Tribolium castaneum: one gene and its partner. The protein of the gene in region 1 purifies or fractionates together with the protein of each later gene. This does not show direct contact. Links are inferred from orthologs where the notes say so. Each region holds a gene or a part of one and is shown in the gene's direction. Other genes may lie near its edges.

Region 1 (5,974 bases):
GGGACCGCGTCGAGAGCGGCGGTTACATCGGAACGGTAAAATACGTGGGCCCCATCGAGGGCAAGCCCTCAATTTGGCTCGGGATCGACTGGGACAACCCCCAGCGGGGCAAACACGACGGCCGCGTCAACGGAGTGCAATATTTCACCACCAGGTATTGATCCCCATTCATTTTTACCCCGACTTTACCAAATTTTAGAAACCCGACTTCAGGTTCCTTCATAAGGCCTGAGAAGGTCAATTGCGGGAAATCAGCCCTAGCGTCGATTGAGTCGCGCTACGGCCAGTTCGAGGATGAATTCACCGCCAAAATCAACAAACAGAAGCAGCTGCTTATCCAACAAAACATGAACGCGCCTTTTTTGGAAATGGTCGGCTTTGACAAGGTTTTCCACAAACAGAGCGACTTCACGTCGTTGAGAATCGTCAATTTGCGTGACCAAGGGATTAATTCGGCGGGTCCGCCGCTACGACTCGGAGAAACGTGTCCGAATATTGAAGAGTTGGACATTTCGAAAAATTTGCTAGTGTCTTGGGAGAGCGTTTTTGAGATTTGCCGCCAGTTGCCGAGGCTTTTTTGGCTGAATGTTAGTGAGAATTTGCTGGACTTGCCAACGATTAGTGAGAGTTTTCCAAACGTGACAACTCTGATTTGTGGGTGTATGGACTTGGACTGGGGGCACATTTGCCAACTTGGACGCATTTTCCCGTCAGTTGAAGAGTTCAGAGCTCCGAATAACAAAATCCGGGGGCTTAGCACACCTGAGGGGTTTTTCACCAAATTAAAGTTGCTCGATCTTGAAGGGAATAACATTGAGTTTTGGACGGAGGTCTGCAAATTGGGGGATTTACCGCACTTGGAGCAACTTATTCTGGAGAATATTGGGCTCCAGTTGATTGAGTTTGAGGGTGATTCCCCCAAAGTACAAGCTTTCAGAGCGATGAAAAAATTATGTGTTGTGAAAAACTTGATCCGTGAGGTAAGACTGAAACTTTGTTCGTTTCCGTTCATGAGAGGATTGATTTTAGTGGCGTTCTGTGGCTGAGTTAAATCGGCTTGAAAGTTTAGAAAATCTGCGATTTTCCAAAAACCCCATCACAGAATCGGAAGAACCTGACACTATCCATCAAATAATAATCGCAAAAATTGCCAACTTGAAAATTTTAAATGGGGTTGAGATTGAAGCCACTGAGAGACGGGGGGCTGAATACGACTACATGAAAAAGTACGGTCTTGAATGGTTGGACGCCAAGGGTACCAACAAAGAGGCTGATTTTCTCAAAACCCACAACAGATATTTGGAATTGATACAAAGTCTGTTTATATTTTTTTTGTTACGTTTTTACGGTTATTTTTGCAGAATATGGCGAGCTGGAAGAGAGTGAACTTGTCTCAAAACCGAAAATTATTAAAAATACGTTGGTCCAATTAAGTATAGTTTTTGAGGACTTTACGGTAGAAAAGAAAGTGCCTCTCACAATGACTGTGCAAAAACTTATAGTCCTCACACAGAAAATGTTCAGCTTGAGTGGAAGGCCCCACTTGATTTACGCCAGCAAGAGCGATCCAGAAATCGAGATTCTTCTAGAGGATGAAATGAAAGAAATCGGAGTTTACTCAATGCAAAATGGTGATAAAATTATCGTGAAAGACAAAGTGTGATTGATTTTGTGTTGTACAAAACCATTAATTTATTCAATAAAGTTTTTAATAAATATTTTCCAAATAAAAAGGTGTTTTCTTCTTGAATACTTGAATACATTACATAACCCTACTTATTATAGAATCTTTGAATAACTGATAGAATACGTGGTTCCAGCTCACAGGACTTAAATTTTTAGGCCCCCTTCTTCCTTACTAATCGATTAGCAGCAATAGAAACGTTCCTATTGTTAGAAAATATTACAAAAAATTGCATAACCGCACTTTTTTCCAAACATGCCATAACCTAAAAAAACTACCGGGTCAATGTAAACACCACGGTTTCACCCAGCACCATACAAAAAATGAAGTAAGAACCCGACTATTGGCACTTGAGTTGCCTCAAAACCGAAAATTTTAGACTAAACGTCGATGGCTTAATCGTGTACTTCCCCTATGACTACATCTACCCCGAGCAGTATGCCTACATGTGCGAGCTCAAGCGGGCCCTGGACGCCAAAGTACGCTCCCCGCCTTTCACAGCCCCTTTTTTATGTTAATTTTAGGGCCACTGCCTTTTGGAAATGCCCTCAGGGACGGGTAAGACCACCACCATTCTCTCCCTCGTTGTTGCATACATGCTCGAGCACCCCCATGACGTCCGCAAGTTGATCTACTGCTCTCGTACTGTCCCCGAAATCGAGAAAGTTATGGAAGAATTGAAAAAACTGCTCGAGTATTATGAGAAGTTGGACGGGGAGTACCCCCATCTCCTGGGGCTGGTTTTGTCCTCACGGAAGAATCTATGTATTCACCCGGAAGTAGGTGATTTGGGGGTGCATAACCGGGCTTGATTTTGCAAATTTCAGGTGAGTACTGAGCGCGAGGGTAAGATTGTGGACGGAAAATGCCACGCACTAACGGCGAGTTACATAAGGGAGAGGCACAATTACGATGATACAACTCCCATTTGTCAGTATTACGAAGGTTTCGCTTTGGATGGCAAAGAAAGTACGATGCCGTTTGGGGTTTACAGTATAGATGATTTGAAACAGTACGGACGGGACCGCAACTGGTGCCCCTATTTCCTGTCTCGTTTTGTGGTACTTGAGGTCACACTTTACATTGCACTTCTGACCCTTTTTCCTAGATAAGTTACGCGAATATCGTAGTCTACAGTTACCACTATTTACTAGACCCCAAGATCGCCGAAGTCGTCTCCAAAGAGCTGACACGAGAGTCAGTTGTTATTTTCGATGAGGCTCACAATATCGATAATGTTTGCATCGACTCAATGAGTGTGAAAATCAACAAACGAATTATCGATCGAGCTTCCGCCAACATCCAGTTATTGGAACGTACTGTGGCCGAGTAAATCCCCGGAAGTTTAAGTTTTCTCTGGATTTTTTAAAATTTTTTAGGATGCGTGAAGACGATCACAAAAAATTGCAAGAAGAATATCAGAGATTAGTTGAGGGGCTGCGCGACGCTAGCGTGGCGCGAGACACTGACGTCATTTTGGCCAATCCGGTCTTGCCCGACGCCATCCTCCAGGGTAATACCCGAATTAGATTTATATATTCCGTGACGTTGAAATTAAGTTGGCAACACTGAGTGATATAGACACAGCTTAATGCGTTGACAAAAATGAAGAAATTTAGTGATTTTTAGCCAAAAAACTTTGTACTTAACAGCTTGAGAATTTAAAAAATAACACTGTTTTCAAAGTTTGATAATTTTTAACTTATTTTTAGCAAAATTTCACTCGAAAACGAGGTCATTCGAATGAAACAAACTCAATAGTATAATTTTCGATTTGTGTATAATTTTTAAACATGTTTAACAAAGTTAAAAAACTAAACAGATCTGACCTGACCTGACCTGACAATAAATAAATAAAATAGGTAGCATCAATTGCGATATATTTTCCTGGATTTTCATCCTTTTTTCAACGAATTTTTTTGGAGGAAAACCTTGTTTTTTTCTCATAAACCTGGTAAACACTCGGTAAAGCCAAATTTGGTTGACCTAATTCAGTCGAATATTTTTCAACGAAACAATCTTCAACGAAATAACTGTTTCTAAATAAAAACACATGAAAAAAGCAAAAAATAATGTCATTTTCGATTAAATAAGAATCTTTTTTCTGCTGAAATCTCTCAAAAGTAAACTTATTTGCTTATTTTTTGTCTTATTTTTGAGGGCATTATTCGAAATCATTGAACTTCAGGCTAAAACAACCATACAAAATGCTCGGAAAATGCAAAAATAATCGCATTTTCGATGATATTTTGTGATTTGTCCGCCTGGTTTAGTAATGCTTTGAGAAGAATTTTGTAGCTCAAAAATGCACTTAAATGCTAGACAGAGGCAAAAATATTGCCATTTCCGAATTAATTTTTTGGGCTGATTGTTATTTATTATGTCAGTAATTCGAAAAAAAATTAAATTGCGTAATTTATTAATTTTCAGAGGCCGTCCCTGGAAATATTCGCAACGCCGAGCACTTTGTCAGTTTCCTGAAACGTTTCCTCGAATACCTCAAAACTCGGCTGCGAGTCCAGCACGTGGTGCAAGAAAGCCCTGCTGGATTTTTAAAAGACGTCCAATCCAAAGTCTGTATTGAACGAAAACCGTTACGTTTCTGTGCTGAACGCTTGGCATCTCTGTTGAGAACTTTGGAAATATCAGACTTGACCGACTTCAGTCCGGTCATTTTAGTCACACATTTGGCCACTTTGGTGGCCACTTATACGAAAGGTTTTACGATAATCGTAGAACCGTTTGATGATAAGACACCGACGGTGTCAAACCCGATCTTACATTTCAGTTGTTTGGATTCGTCGATTGCCATAAAACCGGTTTTTGATCGGTTTCAAACCGTGGTTATAACCTCTGGAACCCTATCCCCTCTAGATATGTACCCCAAGATTTTGAACTTCCATCCTGTGATCATGTCTTCGTTCACTATGACGTTGGCCAGGCCTTGTTTGCTACCAATGGTAAGTCCAGAGGTTGGTGGAGTTCATCATTGACCATTGAATGTTAAGTTATTTAAATAAATTTGCACAAAATTTATAGTATATGTGCGGAATAAACACCGTTTATTTTTTGCATTTTTGAACGTAGCTTTTCATGACTCTTTGTGAGGAAGTTTTGGGGTAATTATTCAAAAACCAAGAATAATAAAAAAAAAAAAATTGAATCATTTTTAAGGAAGAAAGTAGGTATGTTTCAACATTTTTTGGAGAGTTAAAAAAATGAGGAAACTTTTAAGTTTTATCACATAAAAATATTGAAAGATTGGTGTCTCTTACTTACAGTAATTAGTAATTAACTAATTACTCAAAAGATGCGATATTAACCTTTAAACATGAAAAAAATTCACTAGTGGAAAAAATGAAAATTTTAGCTAATAACAACGCTTAGGCCATTATTCGTCATTTATTACAGAAAAATAACTGAACCATTTATCCGTGGAAATTACTATAATTTATTTATTGAATAAGAACTGAATTAACATTTAAAGTCAAATATCTTTTGATTTATTAACTTCAGACATAACATACAGTTTTTAGAAAAATAAAAAAAAATGGATGTTCCATTTAATTAATTAGGAACCTGTTCAAAAATCGTGCCAAAATAATGCAGTTGATGTTCCGCAAATTTGATAAAAATGCAACTACGATATATTTCACCATTTTTAAATATAATATGGTCTGATTAGTTGGAAAAAGATGAACAAACGTGTCCGTAACATAAACACTCATTACAACTTACAAAAAAGTAAAAACTTACCCTTTCTGTTGTCCTTGGAGCCCTGAAATCAAAACATTGATATCAAAAAAGATTGCTTATGATTTAAACCAGTTAATAGTAGGTATTTCAGAAAATGGTAACAGAATTTTTTGTAATTCGGAAGTTGAAAGTTGTATTACTGTGAAAGAGTATATTGGATCTTATCTTTAGAAATTTCTACTATTAAGTTCAAAACTTTTGATACTTTTGATTTAAAATTAATCAATAAATCGTCATTCATTCCGAAAAATTTTATTCTTCAAAAATAATAATTACATTATTAACAAACTTGATAATGTACCCATTATTTTATTTTAATTTATTTTATTCGTAGTATTGGCAAAAAACGCTTGGTTCCATACCATATTCAGTGAGCGGATAAATTATTATTAACTATTATCTTATTAAAACCTAAGATATTTTATAATGGCAGAAATGCTCGAACAAATCAATTTCTTTTTAGCCATGTCGATAGATCTTTTAATTGTTGAACCAAAATAAATAAAAATAAAAAAAACTATCCAAAAGAGTGAA
Region 2 (5,983 bases), about 26 Mb from region 1:
TTACAAAATGTTATTTATACTTATTATTACTTAATATAAATATATAGACGAAAAAAGTTTCTATGATTTGTTATTTCAAAGATATTATAAAAACATTCCAAATAAAAGAAAAGTAACAGTAAATAGTTATTATTGCCAAGGTTCTCGAAATTTGTTAAAGAAAACATTAAATTAAAGACTTACAAAATCACAAAAAAGTGAGATTTTTTGAGGAAGTTCAAATGTATGTAATTTTTTGGGGTAAATATATAAAAATAATAATTATGTAGAATATTTAAGGGTTGTCCAAAAAAAAAGATTATTCCATTATCTTAAGGCTGTCCAAAATTGTAAAAAACGTGAATTTTTTAAGGGAGTTCAAATAAAAAATTTAGTTAAACATTTTTTTGCCGTAGAAAATATAAAAACGGGACAAATTGTTTAAAATCAACAATAATTATGTAGAATATTTAAAGGTTGCCCAAAAAAAAAGATTATTCCATTATCTTAAGGCTGTCCAAAATTGTAAAAAAATGTGAATTTTTTTAAGGGAGTTCAAATAAAAAAATTAAGTTAAACATTTTTTGCCGTAGAAATATAATAACGGAACAAATTGTTTAAATATCAACAATAATTATGTAGAATATTTAAGGGTTGTCCAAAAAAAGATTATTCCATTATCTTAAGGCTGTCCAAAATTGTAAAAAACGTCAATTTTTTTAAGGGACTTCAAATAAAAAATTTAAATTAAACATTTTTTTGCAGTAGAAATATAAAAACGGGACAAATTATCAACAACATTTAAGGGTTGTCCAAAAAAAAGATTATCTTAAGGCTGTCCAAAATTGAAAAATATCAAATTAATTAAATTTAATATTTTAAATTCTGAGAAGACTAAGGTTTAGCAAATTCGTAACAAAATCTCAAATTATAAGTATATTGAACATTTTCAACATCAAAAACGTGTATGTTTTAATTTATAATATTTCAAATGAAAAGAAAATTATTGTTAGGTTTGTCAATATCAAATTAATGTTTTAAAGAACATAACATTGATTTGTTAGTTCAAACGTCAAAAATAAATTATATAATATATTCTTTTTATTAGGGTTGTCCAAATTAAAAAAATATAGTAATATCAAAAATAAAATATGAGCTCAGAATAAATTATGCACACGCAATAAGTGTCAAAAAGTCAGTAGCAAATTGTACCCAACTGTACTAGAGCTGTCTAAAATTTAAAAATATGTCAATAGTACACAACACAATCATATATGAAAACAGATTTATCTAGGGCTTTTCAAACTTTAAAACAGCAAAATTATCCATTTTTTAATATTGGAAAGTGAAAAAATAAATGAAAAAAGCTTGACTAAGTGCCAAATTGCTTAATAAGGGTTGTCCAAATTTGTATAAACGTCCGAATTCCGAGTAAATCCAAAAGGAAAAGTGCAATTATGGTCAATTTAGTGAAAACGTGTGCCGATTTAAGTCCGCAAAGTCGCTTCAGAGAAGCAATCATCAAATCAATTACCGTTTGTTATTTCTTGCGAATGTCTTTATCAGCAGCGCTTCCAAAAACCGCGTCGATGTCAGAGATTTCATTCATTAAAGCGACGATATCGTGCCATTAGCGAGTAATTCCGGGAAAATGAATTTACCAGCGATAATAATCGAGCAGGCGACGCTGTAATTGAAACATGAGAAGGTCGGAGGTTATCTGTTTGTTTCGCCTGTCATTTGTCATCCTCATCACTACGTCAATTTATCACCCTTACCCCAGTCCGTCGTGGTTGAGCTTGAGGTTCTCGATGGAGATGTTGAGCTCGTTGAAGGCCCTGAAGGGCAGGTCGTCCAGCTTGCTGAAGGAGATCTTGAGCGAGACGCGGTCCTCGGGCGCGAAGTGGCCCTTGAGGAGGCGCACCACCTGGTCGTAGGAGGTCATCTTGTCGCAGTGGATGGTGGTGAGCTTGGTGGAGTCCATGCGGCAGGTGCAGGGCGCGATCTCCTTCCACATGGGGCAGTGGGGGATGCCCACGGAGAGGCCCAGGATGGAGAGCAGCAGGGCCGACATGGTGAAGGCGGTTGTCATCGGAGGAGGCCCTTGGTGTTGGCTTTGAGCCGGTCAATGTGTGACTGAGTGACGGTGGCGCCTAAATTTTCTTGAGTGGAGCGCGGCGCCACTGCCCGCCATATCTCTAGCGGTGTCCCCGGGGTACAACGTGTGTGCAACTCCACCAAGATAATTAGATGCATTCGGCCAGAACGAGATTTATTATTGCGAGGAGGACGTGGCGCCCGACGAACGACTGCACTTCCTCATTTAGATTGGCGCCGAAGCCGCAGGCCCTTCTTACCTTACCTTCACACACTTACCCAACAAACCCTTGGACGCGCAAACGCTCACTACCTAGTGCTCAGTGGTAAGTGGGTTTTTTTGTGTCAGGATTTTTTCGATGCCGACTGATGGAAACGTAAGTATTAAGTTTTATTTTCCTTAGAAAAATACAGGTGACCAAAAAATTACCAACACAGGCTGTCCCATGTAAATGTAAGAAAATTTATTTTTTTTCATTAATCCAAAATTATTTTCAAGTAGGCATACAAGATGTTTTTGAGATTTGCTACAATTCAAACTTACGAGTATGTTTTTTTTTAATGGAATTGCATTTATGGGTGTAGCTTTTAATATTGATGTTTCTAAACTAATTAAAGTCACTTTGTGCTTTATCACCATCCGAGAGATTTTTTGAATCTACCTGCATGTATATAGTATATACAGCGTGCTCCAAAACTGGCGCACCAACTCAATGGTGTGTGGTAGAGAAGTGGTTACATATAATGGTAAAAATAGTAAAAAAACTATTTGTATTAAAGTTATTGATAAATAACGAATTTTAAATAAGTGATATGTGGCAACGTTGCCCAACAGTCGTGATCGTAATAGAATTTGAGCAACAATAAAAATAAATTATTTTTGAAACGGTTTCCTAGGAAATAATTCCCAGTGTTGGCACATCTACACATTGTGATTTTTTGGATGAATTTTAAATTAAAAAAACTGCTAAAATCTGATAGTAAATTTTAAAATAATTATTCATCGTTTTGTTACGGAACGATTACCTGGTATGAAACATAAAAATATAAAAAAACAATGAAAACTAAAGAAGTTAACACAATAAGTTTGTAGCTCCAGATTTTTTAAAATATAACTTTGGGAATTTTTTCAACATTTTTCCCGTAATATGGACTTGCTTCTCAATAACGTACCACTGAGTTGGTGCGCCAGTTTTTGAGCACCCTGTAGCCTGTACAGGATGTTCCAAGTTTTATGGCCAAAAATAAATATAAACAATAGCGAATTAATTATGCTACCTTTTGATACTTTAATATTGTTTAGTTCAAAGTTTTAAGGTATTGTTGTCATTATTAAAACCCAATTTTCTGAAAAATTGTTTTTAAGTTATTGGTGTTTTTTTTAATTTGGCAACATTTAGTAATGTTACATGGTAATACTTTTGGTTAATATTTTTTTAAATGTATAAAAATAGGTGTACTTGTACGGCGTTGCCATTTTTTGTTTTTAATTTCAGCCAAATGAAAGGTTTTGTGATTTTTTTATCGAAAATAGTGTTCTGTATAGCTCCATCTAGCTGCTCTTAAGAGCCTATCCACGACTTTTGACCCACCCGATATAATCAGTTAATCGCAGAATTAAGATCTTTGAAATTAAATATTTCTATTTCTATTTCTATTTCTATTTCTATTTCTATTTCTATTTCTATTTCTATTTCTATTTCTATTTCTATTTCTATTTCTATTTCTATTTCTATTTCTATTTCTATTTCTATTTCTATTTCTATTTCTATTTCTATTTCTATTTCTATTTCTATTTCTATTTCTATTTCTATTTCTATTTCTATTTCTATTTCTATTTCTATTTCTATTTCTATTTCTATTTCTATTTCTATTTCTATTTCTATTTCTATTTCTATTTCTATTTCTATTTCTATTTCTATTTCTATTTCTATTTCTGTTTCTGTTTCTGTTTCTGTTTCTTTTTCTTTTTCATACTTAATTATTTTTTTTACATGTGAATTTTTGTAGAATTTTTCTACGATTAATATTAATTCGCTTCATAAAATTATAATTCTAAAACGAACAATGAACGATGAATGTTGTTTAGTGCATAAAAAAAATGACACTAGTTCCAAAAGATAATTAATCAATTCAAAAAACCCAACGTAGTGAGCCGAATTATTATTAAATAGTAATATGAATTTTTATTATATTTTTTTTCTAAACGTGCAAAAATATAATATAAAAAACAACACATTTAGCTAGGACTAGGTCATATCAGAAAACATTACATTATTGTGAATATTTTTTATTATAAAAATTAACACTAACAAATCATAATTTGTTAAACCATTTTCTATTTAATCAAGTCATCCTGACATTATTGCCTAAGCATATAAAGTACATACTTTTGCTGTTTAATAAATAAAATAAGCTGAGTTCCGTCATAAATAAAATCATACGACGTATCATCTATATCAATAATTTAGATTAAGCAATATATTTTAATAATATTTAATTTAGGAATGGTCGAAAAATTCTGAAAACATTCACAATTTTTAGTATTATAGTTTCCGAGAAAAACGCAAAAATTATGACATTTTTTTCACTTTTCAAACGCTGATTACGGCGAAACTAAAAGGTCTAGGAGCGTCTTATTCCACCTTCTCATCTTCCATTATAAGTTGTCTAAAAAAATAAAAATACAAAATAAAAAAATATGTAAAGATTTTTGACCTAATTTGTACATTTCTGGATTTTGTGAGGGAATCTTGCAAAACAATCAGTTTTTGTTCAAATAATCTAAAAAAAAAATTTTATTCGAATAAATTTTGCGAAATGTTTCTCTGTTTCTCACAATTATTTTTGAATAAATTTCACTTCAAGCGAAATTAATCGAAAAAATTTTGCCATTTTTGGTCTATTTTAATGACTTTAAGGCTTCTTTTTAAGAGTATTTTGTGAAATAATAAGGTTTCTGACTGGAATGTGCGTTAAAACAATTGAAAAAAACAAGTGCTAGACTAAATGTGCTCTTTTTTTATCATCTCTAGCGAAATCTCAAGACAAGTTTAAAAACACATTTGTTTTAACTTTTTGTGTAATGAATTTCTTATCCAAAAACGAATCGGGCAAAATAATCGTAGAAATTAAATTTATTTCGATCCGATTTTGTGATTTTTTTGCTTTATTTTTTATGCAATTTCGCACAAAAATGAAGTAAGGGGAGTAAAATAACACCTTATTTTTTAATAATGTTTAATTAATTTAATTAATTATTTATAAGTAAATAAATGATTCTTTCATTTAAAAAAATCAAAAGTTTGAATATTTGTTAAATGAATTTTGAGTTTGTGTCAGCACCTGTTGACTCTAGATAAAGCCCAGCTTGTCCACCTCATTCATTGTTTACGTTTCAGTTATCAATTGAAAATTTAGATCAGTCCTCAGACTTGTGTCTCCTTTATGCCATCTAAATATTGTTATCGGTGTCGTGTTTCCACAACAAATCGATCAAATTATCGCTCATAAAATGTAAAGCGTGCTGTAAATTGTGTAAATACATCGCTTCTGGATCAAGGAATACAAAAACATCAACCCATAAATCGAGTTAAATATACATATTTTACACACGAACGTCCGAAACTCTTATACATTCTCATTGCGGCGCTAAATTATTAGGAATTTTCGACGTCGCTGAACGTAAACACAGGAGTAAATCAATGATAATCACGTTGGAATTCTACTTATTCACAAAATAAATTTTATGACTCGGCGAGATTTTATTTATTAATAGATAGAACGGACGCTTCATCCGCCTTCTCTTTGACACATTTAAAAAAAACGACACACTAAACCCTTGCGATTTATTGCACTCAGTTTATTTTTAGCTGCATTGTGGCGCATCCACCATTTTTCACAGACC

Evidence for each region. The genes of interacting proteins can lie anywhere in the genome.
Region 2: the proteins of Xpd (region 1) and galla-2 purify together in Homo sapiens (affinity purification with western blotting; 3 studies listed by BioGRID and IntAct, with this or other methods). This does not show direct contact. The link is inferred for Tribolium castaneum from reciprocal best matches to the Homo sapiens genes ERCC2 and CIAO2B.

The regions. Positions count from the first base shown.
Region 1 is NC_087394.1:27,625,368-27,631,341, forward strand, and holds the start of Xpd (general transcription and DNA repair factor IIH helicase subunit XPD), read left to right. Parts: upstream 1-1,828; 5' UTR 1,829-2,007; coding exon 2,008-2,012; intron 2,013-2,063; coding exon 2,064-2,163; intron 2,164-2,208; coding exon 2,209-2,463; intron 2,464-2,511; coding exon 2,512-2,745; intron 2,746-2,792; coding exon 2,793-3,013; intron 3,014-3,063; coding exon 3,064-3,197; intron 3,198-4,114; coding exon 4,115-4,644; intron 4,645-5,974. Other genes in the region: Tbce (tubulin-specific chaperone E), read left to right, coding at 1-154, 200-980, 1,030-1,315, 1,362-1,663. UniProt on the Homo sapiens protein: ATP-dependent 5'-3' DNA helicase. Component of the general transcription and DNA repair factor IIH (TFIIH) core complex, not absolutely essential for minimal transcription in vitro.
Region 2 is NC_087394.1:1,673,637-1,679,619, reverse strand, and holds the start of galla-2 (MIP18 family protein galla-2), read left to right. Parts: upstream 1-2,300; 5' UTR 2,301-2,435; coding exon 2,436-2,453; intron 2,454-5,983. Other genes in the region: ltl (insulin-like growth factor-binding protein complex acid labile subunit), read right to left, coding at 1,758-2,071.